Linked DNA regions of Notamacropus eugenii. The protein of the gene in region 2 interacts with the protein of the main gene of each other region in a pairwise test. Links are inferred from orthologs where the notes say so. Each region holds a gene or a part of one and is shown on either strand. Other genes may lie near its edges. The genes, in order: TCEA2, CCDC136 and FAM107A.

Region 1 (4,665 bases), on a different chromosome or scaffold from region 2:
CCTGTTTTCCGAAATATCCTAAGGTCTGTGTCTTTCTTTCTATTCCCAAAGCCCCCCTCCAAGTCCAGGCCTAGACCAGTTGTTCCATCAGCTTCTCAGCTTGCTTTCCTGCTTTGGGCCTCTCACCAACCCCGAAAAGGCTGCCAGACGGATCCCCTCCTCCAAAGAGCCCTTAGAGATAAAAAATCCAAACCCTTTAATGTGCCATTCTCTTCTTCCCCAGCCTTCCAACTACTGCCTGGCTCTAATTTGGGGGGCAGCTACGTGGTGCAGTGGATAGAGCACCAGTGCAGGAGTCAGGAGAGCCTGAGTTCAAATCTCACCTCAGACACTTGACACTCACTAGCTGTGTGACCTTGGGCAAGTCACTTAACCCCAACTGCCTCATCCTAGGTCATCTCCAGTCATTCTGATGCATATCTTGTCATTGGATCCAGATGGCTCTGGAGGAGAAGTGAGGCTGGTGACCTGCACAGTCCTCCCTCACTCAAAACAAAGTCAAGTGCAAGCCATGTCATCATTTCTCTGATGGCGTGGTCTTCTTCAGCTCTAATTCACTTTTCCAGCCTCATCTCTCAGTCCTCATGACTAACATGTGCGTAACGCATTTCTCCCAGCTCCTGCACAACTTAGCTTCACTCCAGCCCTTCACACTTCGCGTTTTCACTCTTTTGCTGGGACCTCGCCACAGACTGAGAGCTCCGGGCTGGGGATGCCGATGGGCTGGGGGGTGGGTAACGCGAGGGTGACGTGCTGTGCCCCCAGACCAGGCCGGCGTCCGCGTCACGGCGAGCTCCGGGAGCGGCTGGAGGGGCGGGGATCCTCACCCCTTCTCTTTCCCCAGCCTGCCTTTCTTCCTCCCCTCACCTTCTGGTCCTGTTTCGCCCCTTTCACCTCCCCACGTCTCCACTCTCAAGGCCCCCTTTCTAAGAGAAGTTCTGTGCCACCATCTCCCTCCCAAAGTCGCACCGCCAGCCCACCCAGGAGGTAAAGATTCCACAGCCTCAGTGCGTTCCCACGAGTTAAAGTTCCCACTAAGGAAGCTTCTCCGAGTGAATTGTGGGGCTTGGAGTCTTCCCGTGATGCGGAGAGGCCACAGACGGCGGGTCAGAGACTACGCTTCCCACAACGCCGTGCGAGGGAGAGTTCGCTTGGTAGACGCGAACCTGGGGCGGGGCAGGCACGGAAACTACACGTCCCAGGATGCAGCGCGGCGGAGCCGCCGAGCCTGAGGCGTTTGAACGGCTGCTCTCCCGCCTGGTTGCTCTCGGGCAGCGGCGGCTGCGTGGTGGTTGCGGGGAGCTGGGGGCGGGACAGGACGAGCAGCTGAGGGCCCGGATTGCGGCAGCGGGAGGAGGAGCCCCGGGCCAGGCGGTGCGGCGGCGGTGGCGGCGGCAGCAGGGACAGGGCCTGAGCGAGCCGCCCACGGGAAGATGATGGGGAAGGAGGAGGAGATCGTGCGGATCGCCAAGCGGCTGGACAAGATGGTGACCAAGAAGAGCACGGTGAGGTCACGGTCCCCGCGCGCCTCCAGACTCCCCGAAATTGCCCCCCGAAACCTCCCCCATTCCTTCCAGAGATATCCCTCCACGGAGAGTCCGGCCAGCCACGACTCCCCTGAGGGACCCCTCTCGAGGACCCCAAGATTTCTCTCATGCCCTGCAGGGTACCTCAGACACCCTGTCCCATTTTCTGGATGTCCCTGAGATCCTTTTAGAGACTTCCCTAAGAGACCTTGAGAGACGCCTTCCCCGGCCCCCTCTCCCCATGCGCCCCAAACCAGATCAGAGCTGAACTTTGTGACTTCACCATAGAAATACCCCTTAGAAATCTCCCAGGCCGTTACTTCTCCCAGAAACCCTGAGACAGAAGTCACCGAGATAGCCACCCTTGACATCCCCAGAGACTCCACTCAGAGACCCTCTGATGGCCACCAGCGACCTCCCCCAGAGACCCTCTGATAGCCACCAGCGACCTCCCCCAGAGGCTCCACTCAGAGACCCTCTGATAGCCACCAGCGACCTCCCCCAGAGACCCTCTGATAGCCACCAGCGACCTCCCCCAGAGACCCTCTGATAGCCACCAACGACCTCCCCCAGAGGCTCCACTCAGAGACCCTCTGATAGCCACCAGCGACCTCCCTCAGAGACTCCACTCAGAGACCCTCTGATAGCCACCAGCGACCTCCCCCAGAGGCTCCACTCAGAGACCCTCTGATAGCCACCAGCGACCTCCCCCAGAGGCTCCACTCAGAGACCCTCTGATAGCCACCAGCGACCTCCCCCAGAGACCCTCTGATAGCCACCAGCGACCTCCCCCAGAGGCTCCACTCAGAGACCCTCTGATAGCCACCAGCGACCTCCCCCAGAGGCTCCACTCAGAGACCCTCTGATAGCCACCAGCGACCTCGCCCAGAGGCTCCACTCAGAGACCCTCTGATAGCCACCAGCGACCTCCCCCAGAGACCCTCTGATAGCCACCAGCGACCTCCCCCAGAGGCTCCACTCAGAGACCCTCTGATAGCCACCAGCGACCTCCCCCAGAGGCTCCACTCAGAGACCCTCTGATAGCCACCAGCGACCTCCCCCAGAGACTCCACTCAGACTCTGTGCTGGCCACCAGGGACATGCTCCAGAGATTTCCGCTCAGACACCCTTTCTCAGGGCTTCTGCTTACAGACTCTCTGATAGATATGCATGTCACCCTGGACCCCTCAAATTCCCCTCTATTTAAAAGTTCCTTACGGAACCTCAGATTCCTGTGAGACCTTGGGAGCTCTCCCCCTCAGATTCCTCAAACCCCTCTCCAAATTCCCCTCAAAGATTACTAGCTTCAATCCATAGACATTGAAGTATCTGCTTTGTGCCACGCACTATGCTAAGCTTTCTTTCCTAGAGACCCCCCAACAGAGGGTACTCAGATTTACAGGCACCAGCAAGGGACCCTTCTTCCCACTCCTCACTACTCTACTACCCGCTACTTGTGTGACCTTGACCAAGTCTCTTCTTGTTGCAATCGGTTTCCTAAAATGAAAGCAGTTGGTCTAGATGATCTCACAGAGTTCTAAATCCTGGATCCAGGTATTGGGCTGTTTCTCTGAGATCTTTGCTATAGGTCTTCCTGCTACAGCTGCCCCTGTCTTAGTTTCCTTAACTGTAAAGTGAGGATGATAACACTGACCCTTGGGTTTGTTGTGGTCAAAGTACTTTTTAGCATTTTGTAGGGCTACCTTATAGAGCTGATGTAAGGGTCAAATCAAATAAGATAATATATGCAGACTTTAAAATGCCATATATGTGTTAGCTATAATTGTGGCTATTATTTGTAAGCATTGAAGTACTATAGAAATATGATAAATTATTATTGTTTCTGCCTTGAGTCTTTTCCTAGAGCTATACTCAGACCACAGCTAAAACTGAGACTTGTAATCCCTGCCCTATACTTCCCATACCACCACAAAATTAAGCTTTTCTATTCAAGGGTCAGTAAGACCCTGATCAGAGACACTAACTTTGGAGGTAGTTTATAGGTCTGCAGATTGCGGACCTGAGTTTGAATCCTGCAGCTTTACTAGCTATGTGAATCTGGGAAAGTCACTTTACTTCTCTGTCTTCAGTTTCTTCATCTACAAAATAAGGGGCTTGGACTAGTTGATATTCTACTGTGAATTCTTTGATCTTATAACTGTCCTTTCAGAGGTCACTTAAGAACCTATAAATACTCCTGCTTAATAAATATACAGTATTTTTTTTCCACCGACACTATGATCCTTAATTCTTTAACTCCCTTTCTCCCCAGCTTTTGGCCCTTGTTTATCTCATCTGAGGCTCCCCTGGCCTCACTGAGAGGCAACCTCCATCCCATATGACTCTATGTTTGTGTCTATTATCTTCCCTTAAAGGCTCTTTCTTGGGAGCTGTCCACAAACTCTATCTTTCAGATTCTCACATTTTTAAAAAGCCTTATTTTTATTGATTTGATTTAATTTTTGTATTAATATCACCTCCATTTCCTCATACATTCCTATCCCCTCTCCTATTCAGTGAACCATCTCTTGTAACAAAGAATAAAAAAAGAGAAAAAGCAGTTCAGCAAAACCAACACGTGAACTGTGTCTGACAGTATATGGAATATTCCACAATCATAGTCCTCTTTCTCCGCAAAGAAGAGAGGAAAACACAGTTTTCCTAACCCTTCTTGGGAACCAGGCTTGGTCATTATAATTATATACTGTTTGGTTTCCTCTTTTGTTCTCTCCATTTACGTTACTGTAGTCAGTGTCTCACAAACATTTGTTAAAAATCTTGGGTTTGCTGAGAACTATGCTGAGTGCTGAGTGAGATGGAGAATTTAGATAAGACATGGAGCTTGCCATTCTGAAATTTTTCTAGTACATACACAAATAGCATTAAAATTATGTAAGTTCATAAGAGAACTACAGAGCAAGTGTGATACATCTTCTTAGGGGTGGGGGGAGGGAAAGATTATTCTTGAATAGTGGGATCAGGAAAGGCTTAATGGAAGAGATGACTTTTAAGTCTTAAGGGAGAACAACAGGGATAGGGAGCATCAAAAGCATAGGGGGTAGTGTGTCAGTTTGGGCAGTATTTGGAAGAGAGTACTATGGAAGGTTTCACATTCCAGGGCTAAGGAGTTTGAATTTTA
Region 2 (4,665 bases):
AAAAAGCAGTAGAGGAGACTGGAGAGAGGACTGACCAGAAAACTGGGACCATATGGACTCACGACCTGCCTCTGACACATCCTGACTGTGGGATCCCAAGCAAATCAGGTAATCTCTGGGTCCCAGGCACCTCTCTAAGGCTACAGGGCACATTGGTTGACATTGGTAGACAGAGATCCCTATTAATGAAACCAAGCCAAAACAAACAAAAAACAACCCAACACTATGTGTACACAATTCTTATAATATACAGTGACAATTATATATCTACCATATCTACAAAAAGCTGATCTGGCTGAGGGCCCTATAACTAGCCTAAACTCCAATCCCTGCTTTGGCCATTAGAAAAGATTAAGACCTGGCCATCTGCCCTATCGAAGAGTGCACATCCGCCAGCTCCCAACAGCTTGCAATCTCTTTCTCTGGAATAATCAAAACACCACTACCTTTACTAGACTGACATGCCAATATACATTCAGACTATGACTTGAAGTCTGCTGAGGCCAAAGCTCACACTACCAACACTGTCCCTACATTGTTCCTGGGGCACTCTTCCTCTTCTTCCACTGTGTCCTCTGAAGCCTGTTCTAATGCTAATGAAACTGCCTGGCAGAATTAGACCTATGTCCTTACCTCCAGAAGTTACTTTGAAGATAGTTCATATTTGTTGCTGTTTAGTCATTTCTGTCATGCCCAACTTTTCTTGACCCCATCTAGACTTTTCTTGGCAAAGAGACTGGAGAAGTTTGTTGTTTCTCCAGCTCATTTGACAGATGGGGAAACGGAGGCAAACTGAGCTAAGTGACTTGCCCAGGGTCACACAGTTGGTGTTTGAGGCCAGATTTCAACTCAGGAAGACAAGTCTTCCTTCCTCCAGGCCCAGCACTCTATCCACTGTGCCATTTAGCACCCCCATATTTCATATTTACTTCCAAATACATTGTTTCCTTCCCTTAGATCATAAGGTCCTTGAGGGCAGGGACTGCTACATTTGATTTGTATTCCGAGCACTTAACAAAGTGACTGTTATGAGGAAAGATATCTCACTATAGCTTGTGGAATTCATTAGGGAATTGTATTAGAGAAAGAGCAAGGTAGCAGTTTAGGGTTTACAAACAAGGAAACTATTTCAGATCCCATTTAACAAAGGGCTGCGTAGTCAATGGATATAATAAAGCCTAATGACCCCGACTGACTATAGAATTGATGGGAGGCAGGGAAGAGAGAGGACCAGAAATACCGGGCTTCATCCCCCCTGTCCCTTCCATGCGTCTCTTTCCAGCCTCCACGTCACCTTAGGTTCCCCACTTGGTCTGTGGGCCTGGAAGCATCCCAGAGCCAGGACAAGCCCTGAACCCGGGGCAGGGAGCTGGCCAGTCCAGGGACTTCGGCCTTGGGAGGAGGGTGTTCTGCTTAAGATAATACAGGGCAGATTATTCCATCATCCCAGGGGGATGCTCCGCTTTACCTCGGCAGCAAAGCCAGGGATATCGGCCAGGCCCCGGGGTTCCTCTGCGCAGACCCCCTCCCCACTTCGCAGCGACTTGGGGGGAGGTGCCGGGAGGCTGTTGAGCCCTCTCCCAGCAGGGCTCCCACGGGAGCAGCCACTTCCTGAACCTAGCCGTCCATCCAAGCTCTCGGTTTGCCCCCCAGTGAGCCTGTACTGTTCTTGCTTCTTTGGGCCAAGGGTCAAGGTGCTCCCACCTGAGCCAGGAATGTGTGCGAGCCCCTTCCCAGGAGCACGCCAGGCGGGCGGCGCGCAGTGACCGGCCGGGTGGGGCTCCGGGACCCTGAGAAGAGAGAGGCTCCAGCTCCCCCCTCCCCACCCCACTCCCGCCTGCGGTTGCGTCAGGTGGGCCGGAGAGGAGACAGGAGGGGAGCCCGGGGGGCTGGGCTCGGTCCCCGCCTGGGGCACGCCTTCCCAGCAGCCCCTCCTCCGCTCCTCCCGCTCCCCAGGCTCTGCGGCTCGGTCCCGAGCAGGGCCGGCAGCGGCTGCGGCCATGGACACGGAAGCTGGGGATGGACCCGAAGCCACGAGCCGGCCCAGCCAGTGCTCAGGTCAGGGCTTTTGCTCATCCGGCTTCTCCTTGCCCTTCTCCATTTCTCCTCCCCTCCTCCTTCCCCAGGCCGAGGTCTCCATCTTTCCCATCCCTCTCCCCGCTCTCCCCGCTCTCCCCGCACGTCCAGCCCGCCGCTGCATCCTGCCTTGAGAGGCTCTCTGGTCATCCTTGTCCCCCCAGCCCCCGCGAAGCGGCTTCACCGCCCTCCCCTCCCTCCCTGCTCGGCTCTGACCCCGGGGCTCTTGTGGGTGCGCACAGATTCTCAGATCCCCTCTGGCACTGGGCACAGTGAAGAGTGGATAATTGGGGGGGGGGAGGAGTAGAAAATCAGGTAGTATGGTGATGATGGCATTTTATTCCCACTCCAGATAACAGAACCCCCTTTGCCATTGCCCCTTCCCTAACCCCCAAGCTTTTTCTCTTCACTTCCTCTCTCCCGTTCCCTCCATCTCTACCTTCTGCTCCCTCTCTCATCTTCCTCTCTTTCCTAAATATACATTCTCTGGCTTATGTATGGAGAGAGACAGAGACAGAGCTGGGTTTAACAGACCTAGTCAGTTCTGACTGTCCAGTCAAAGTCAATAGTAGAACTGGAAATATGGGAGATAAGAAGCAGTAGATGTGGGAATGTAAGCAGGGGAAGGGGAAGGGAGTGATTCACAGGGTCAGGGTCAGCAGCAGAGCTGGGTGTGGAGGAAGGACAGAGAGAAGATATGGGGACCTGTGCTAGGCAGGAGGGGGGGGAGGGGAGAAGAGATTCACAGAGCCAGGGTCAGTTGCAGAATTGGGGGTGGGGCAGATAGAAGCAGATGTAGGGGCCTGTGTTGGGGCAGGGGCTGTCCAGAGAGTCAGAGTCAGAAGCAGAGCTAGGGGTGGAGAGTGGGCAGAGAGAAGCAGAGATCTGTTGTAGAGGGGATTCACAGTCAGGGTCAGCAGCAGAGGGGGAGTAGGGCAGGCAGAAGTGGAGACCTACAGTAAGAGGAGGGAGTTAGAACCGATGGAAGCAGTAGAAGTGGGGGACCTGTGTTGGTAGGAGGAATCAGAGTCAGGAATCAGCAGCAGAGCTGGGAGTGGGGCAGCCAGCAACAGCAGCAGAGATGAGGACTTTATTTGTATTAGGATGGGAGGGGGGAAATTCAGAGGCAGAGTCAGGTGGAGGGATGGCAGTGGGGTGGGGTAGAGTAGAAAGCAGCAGCAGAAGTGGAAACCTGGGCCAGAATGGGGATGATGGCAGGGCCAGGGTCAGCAGCAAAGCTGGGAGTGGGGTGGGAGAGTACAGCAATTGGAACCAGCAGAGGGGCCATAGCTGGGGGATAGGGGACATCAGAGCTAGGAATGGGGAGATGCTTGGACTGACATTAGGATTCAAGCACCCATGACTTGCCTAGGATGGGTATACTCCCCAGCCTTTCCTGTGCCTCTCATACTTCTCTTTCCATAGGATTTCCAGTGACCCCTGCAAAGTCCTGTGAGGGATCTGAGGGCTGTGAGAGGAAGAAAGGCCAATGTTGGGGATCCCTGGAGCGCTGGGGTCAAACCATGGATGGTGAGTTTTCTTGCCCTAAAATGCTTTCTTTTCTTTCTCCCTTCCTACTTTTCAACTCCTTTCTTCTCTCCCTCCCCCTGCAGCTCCTAGCTTTGACTCCATTATTTCCCCCGAGCTTTTCCTAGAACCTTCCTCATCTCAAACTAAGGCCCAGTAGTCACCCTAAGGCTTTGGGGAAGGGAAGCAACTACTTCAAGGTTTCTTCCTGAACACACACGACTTAACTAGGGTCTATCTCATGGGGCTGACTCTGCTAGAAGGAAGCCACACCACCCCAAAAGATTTCCTGATGAGCTTTTTCATCTGAGACACTGGTCCTCACTTCATCCCAACAATGTTACCTGCTCCTGCCCCCAAAATTGTGGTCTGTCTTTCAAGCAAGGCTCCCCTCTCCCCACAGCTTAGTCCTTCAAGGTTGGAAGGAAGACACCAGAGTGGAAGAGGCACAGTCTTATCCAGAGGGCTACAATTCAACCAGCATTCTGCTGCACTGCTCTCTATGAAGCCATCCCCATTCAGGGCTTAAGGAACATATTATCACCTAGGGAGCAATCCCACATTTGCTTCTCTGGAGCCCAGATGGCTTCCAAGGCTTCTACCCAAAGTCTGAATTTCCCTAGGCCAGTGGTCAAGCAGATGTCCTGGGAATTGATTCTTGACCTGGGTGAGGGCTTGAAATCAATAATTCTACATTTCTTTCCAGCTCTCTGATTCTCTCTTTACTTGTCCCAAGTTCCAGCAGTCAGAACTAGAAGGAGCCAGGTATTCATGGGCAAGCTTTCCTTTCTTCTCAGCATCATGCTTTGAAGCACCCCCACCACCAAAAAAAAAAAGCCTGTCATTGTGAGAGGCCCCACCCAAATGAAACTGGTCAGCAAACTCCAGGAAAGGTCAGGGAGAAAGATGAGAATACCCTGAGCCCCAATTCTATAGGCATCAATTGAGGGGGTGTCACTGGAGATCTGCAGATCGCACCAATGCATCATCTCTACCTGGCCACCTTGACTGGTGTAATCATTTGCAAGTCTGAGACACCTCAGCTATAAAAAGGTGATCCTC
Region 3 (4,665 bases), about 350 Mb from region 2:
GACCAAACTTGGTCATTAGAACTGACTCCATTACACAGCACCAGCTCAGGACTACATTCTTAAAAACTGGCATCGCTTACACTCTCACACACTGTTTATTACAGTGCCAGAGAGCACAGCATCTCCAAGGTGGAGGGGATTTTCAGAAGACACCCAGTCTGCCCTGTGCCAGGAAAAGACTCCAGGGGATCCCTCTTCTGACACTTAGAGGACAGAAGGGGAAGGAGAGACGGGCACAATGGCCTGCAGAGAGGGTGGCTGCTTTCAGTCCTTCTGCCATGGCAAGGGGATGACTATGAATGCACACAGTTCAGGCTGGTCTCTGTCCTACAATAAAAGATGAAAGAAAAAAGGAATCTCTTTCCTGCTAAGGGATGTAAAAATATGCCTTTAAAAATAGAAAAACTTCCAAGTAAAAATAAACAAACAAACAAAAAAAGAAAGGAAGGAGCTGAAGAGGGATCTGAGTGCCCTGATGTGGGTCAGGGCATGAGAGGGGAGAAGAAGGTAAGAACTTTAAGAAAGGGAAATATGAGTGACAAAAGTGGGGGCATGAGGATTAGGTGATGGACTCTCCCTGCAGAGGGCTGAGCTGAGCCATCCTGAGAGGAGGCAGGGCTCTAAGGAGAGAGGTTACTCAGTAAGGGTCAGAGGAAAGTCAGTGGTGGCTGGTGACTCTCTGCTGAGGAAACCAAGACAGCTGTTTGTCAAACTGTCAATCAGCAAACCTTTGGACATAGCTACTACGTGCCAGGTACAGTCCTAGAATCTGAGGAGAGTGAGGCAGAAATGAAACCCACATCTAGGTGCACATAGCCACAACAGGACTTGACAAACTTGCTTCCTACTTCCCGTGATAAATCTAGGGACACATTACACTACCATAAGAAAGTTAGCAAACATGGTAGGGACATTGAAGTCCTGGGCAAGAAAATGAAGACCTTAGGGGCCCCAGTGGTCTCTTCATCATGTTTGTCAATTAAAACAGAAGTTTTGGAAGAGAAAGACAGATCTGAGGAGTGAAGAACTACTTGAGTAGTTTACCTGAAAACAAAAAAAATTAATTTTTGGACCAAGGCTTAAAATATAGGAATGATACACTCTTGGCTAGGGATGGATTGTAGATAGTAAAGGCTAAAAAATATATTTGCTCAGAGATCTGCAATGCTAGTAAAAGAAAGGGACTTCAAACTGGAAAGGGAGGAGAGTGAAAGGAGAAACCAACTTTCAGGACCACAGAGCATGGTTACAATAACAGCAGTAGAGACACCCCATAATTCTCAGGAGTCAAAAATGCAAGAAGGAAGTCAGCAATGGAGCTCGTGGCCACAGAGGTCCATACACAAGAGCACAAATTGTGGGTACTAAGCAAGATAAATGAGAGAGCCCAAGGAGCCACTTGGTTTTCATCTATAGGACTGAAACCTAGAGGGATGTATAGAATATAACTTTACAAAGAATCACAGAAAATGAAAGCATCCCAGTGTTGGAAGGGACCTCAGCAACTTAATCCAATCCATACTGGAACAAGAATTCCCCTTACCTTAAGCCTCCACACTTCAAATATAGGGAGAGTCCCCTACCTCTTTAGCAGGTGATTCCACTGTTAGATAAGATTATTACCTGTGAATGTGGGGGTGGGGAGAGATCAAGGAAGGCTTCCTGGAGAAAGTGGAATTTGATTGAATTTTAAAGGACACTGAATAAACACTAGTTTGCGGATCAGGGTTCCATCTTTTCCACCAAGGAGCTGTGTGATCCTGGACCGGTCCCTTCACTTCGCTGAATTTCAGTTGTCAAATGAATATAAATGGGGAGGAGGGAGGGTGACTGGAGTTCTGAATTCTCTTCCAGCTTGGGCATTCCATGATTTGAAAGTTTTTTTGATATATTTTTTCATCCCCTGCTTCCAGCTCAGATCTCTCCAGACAGCGGACATTCAATCAGTCCAGGCTGACTGACTCCCACCTCAGAAAGGCTGCATTGGTCTCTCCAGGCAGCATCATTTTGTGTCCCAGTGCAGGCTTCTGAGTTTAGCTATTCTCAGCATGTCCCGGAATGATCCACTCCAGGAGCCGCTGAATCAGACCAAATCCCTCCAATTTTGCTGTCTGATGCTTCCCAAGACTCCAGGAACAACACAAAAAAGCCCCAGCTAGCCTTGGGCTCCAGTGCTGGCAGCTGGCAGGGCCCCAGAAAGGCACTCAGGGTGCCTCACTTGGTTACAGAGCTGGGTCTACCTCTTTGCCCTTGACTGAAGCATAGACTGGCAGATTTCTCATGGATCAGGTTTTTGAATTAGAAGGAAGATTGAACCCGCAGAATTATGAGCACTATTGAAAATATCTCTCTCAAAATGAAATTGTAAAAGAAATAGGAACCATCCGATCCCTTTCCCCCTTTACAAAAGGCAAGCTATTTCCCCTGAAACTAGGAGTTTCTTACCTGGACTGTAGGACTTGTTAAAAAACAAACTAAAAGAAACCAAAGAAATACCTCCTTGATAATCATAATACCCACAGTTAGAGAAGTGCCAGCAATCATTTAAAATCAGTCATATTAAGGAATCACATGTCTGGTAGTGGGACTAGGATCCCGACTTAAAACTCTTCAGTACATGATGGCCAGAAAAATGCCAGGATGGGCCAGGACAGGTGCCCAGGTGGACACTGGCACAGGGAAGCAGGCAAACACATTCTTTGCCCAGCTGGGGAGCAGGGGAGAGGGTCCCACTCCAGGCTTGCTCTTACCTGATTTAACCAGCATGGCTCGGTAGAGACCTGTTGCCTCAGGGGGCACCCTGATCCCCATATCTCTCTGGGCCATGAGTGCCGGCCGGGCACGGGGGAAGCTAGTTGAATCTCGGAGGCTGCACATGCTGGCAAGTGTGCATAGCTTTTTGGCAGGAGCTCTGCTACTGAGCTCTCTCTCTCTCTCTCACTTCAGTAAGATCTTTTCAGAGACGGAAAGCAGTCATGTGAGATGGGCAGGCTCAGCACAGCCCCTGCCCTCCCCTGCCAGGCGGTACATTTTGATCTGCTCCTCTCACAAAACCTTTCCTGGGTGATTTCAGGGGATTATGTTACTGTTGAGAGGGCCAGGCTGCTGGGATCCCAGGGCCAGTATGGATGAACATCCACTTTTCTTCACAGTCTTCCTGGAAGGAAGGTAGCATTATAGATGAGGAAACTGAATCACAGAGGCACCAAGGTTCAAATGCTGACTTTGTTACTTACAATCTTACTTAAGTCACTGGGGTATCACTGAGACTTTTGGTGCCTCAGTTTCTTCACTTGTAAAATGAAGAGATGGGAGTAGATGACTTTCGAAGTCCCTACCAACTCTTGACCTATAATCTTGGGAATTTATAAACCAGCAGCCAGGTGGAGAGAGTGCTAGTTCTGAAGTCAGGAGGACCTGAGTTCAAATCTGACCTCAGACACTACCTCTGTGACCCTGGGCAAGTCACTTCACTCTGCCTCAGTTTCCTTACTTGTAAAATGATCTGGAGAAATAAATGACAAACAACTCCAGTTGCCAGGAAGACCCCATGAAAGCAGCTGAATTCTGATGAATTTTAATGAACAGCCTTGGTCCCAGAGATCTAATGTAGAGAGGCACGGATTGAATACATGGAAGATTGTATAAAACATGTCCACTGTGGCAGCTATTTAAATCTGTATCAAATTTATCAAATTGTTCAAATCTTCCTTTAAAAACAATTATCAAATTTAGGAGGCAGAGCCAAAATGTTAGAGAAAAGGCAATGACTTGCCTGATCTCTCCCCCAAACCCCTGTGAATACCTTTAAATAATGCCATAAAAAATTTCTAGAAAGGTAGAACCCACAAAAGGATGGGGTGAAATAATTTTCCAGCCAAAAACAACTTAGAAGGTTGGTATGAAAGATCTGTGCCACCTGGGTGAGAGTAGAGCTCAGTCCAGTACAGGTCATGCCAGTATAGTCTGGCCCCAGAAAACCAGGAGCAGAACTTGGGAGCCACTGAATCAGCAGTGGCAGTGGCTACCTCTGTAGTAGCAGCCCACAGACAGTAAAGGAGTCAAACAACTGGTCAGAAGGAGGTTACAGTATCCTCTTTGCTAGCACTGAGGCAAGACTCTATTGCTTTGCTCATACTCTGATCTGGGTCGCAGTTCTGGGTGGCAGTCCCAGGGCAAGGAGAAGCACTCTAGCACATTACAGCTTGCAGCCTCAGTGGAGCAGGGCACCCCATCACAGTTCCAAGACAGAAAAGAGTGCTTGTGGTCACTCACAGACCACTGTCCTGAGAGTAGAAACACACCTCTCCTTAGATCATACCACCTTGGAAGAACTGAAAACTTACAGGTCCCTAGAAATATCTCTGAAAATATCTGTACGAAATCCTTGAAGTATGGGACAGTATGCCCTCCACCTTAGAAGCAGAGCCCCACTTTAACAAGGAGTTAAAAGTCAAGAAATAGACTGGAAAAGTGAGCAAGCAGAAAAAAATTCTGATCATAGGAAGTTGCTATGGTGACAAGGAAGATCTAAACACAGAAGAACACAACAAAATCAAAGCTCCAGCATCCAAAACCTCCCAAAAAATATGAATTGGTTTTAAGTTGTGGAAGAGCTCAAAAAGAATTTTGAAAAATCAAGTAAGAGAGGTAGAAGAAAAATTG

Evidence for each region.
Region 1: the proteins of CCDC136 (region 2) and TCEA2 interact in binary tests that used the Homo sapiens proteins (3 or more experiments, as listed by UniProt). The two-hybrid records come from large-scale screens. The link is inferred for Notamacropus eugenii from reciprocal best matches to the Homo sapiens genes CCDC136 and TCEA2.
Region 3: the proteins of CCDC136 (region 2) and FAM107A interact in binary tests that used the Homo sapiens proteins (3 or more experiments, as listed by UniProt). The two-hybrid records come from large-scale screens. The link is inferred for Notamacropus eugenii from reciprocal best matches to the Homo sapiens genes CCDC136 and FAM107A.

What each region holds. Positions count from the first base shown.
Region 1 is NC_092872.1:496,078,077-496,082,741, reverse strand, and holds the start of TCEA2 (transcription elongation factor A protein 2), read left to right. Parts: upstream 1-1,187; 5' UTR 1,188-1,433; coding exon 1,434-1,505; intron 1,506-4,665. UniProt on the Homo sapiens protein: Necessary for efficient RNA polymerase II transcription elongation past template-encoded arresting sites.
Region 2 is NC_092874.1:121,335,170-121,339,834, reverse strand, and holds the start of CCDC136 (coiled-coil domain-containing protein 136), read left to right. Parts: upstream 1-1,540; 5' UTR 1,541-2,000; coding exon 2,001-2,058; intron 2,059-3,501; coding exon 3,502-3,606; intron 3,607-4,665. UniProt on the Homo sapiens protein: May play a role in acrosome formation in spermatogenesis and in fertilization.
Region 3 is NC_092874.1:466,690,772-466,695,436, reverse strand, and holds the start of FAM107A (actin-associated protein FAM107A), read right to left. Parts: upstream 2,980-4,665; 5' UTR 2,878-2,979; coding exon 2,751-2,877; intron 1-2,750. UniProt on the Homo sapiens protein: Stress-inducible actin-binding protein that plays a role in synaptic and cognitive functions by modulating actin filamentous (F-actin) dynamics. Mediates polymerization of globular actin to F-actin. Also binds to, stabilizes and bundles F-actin.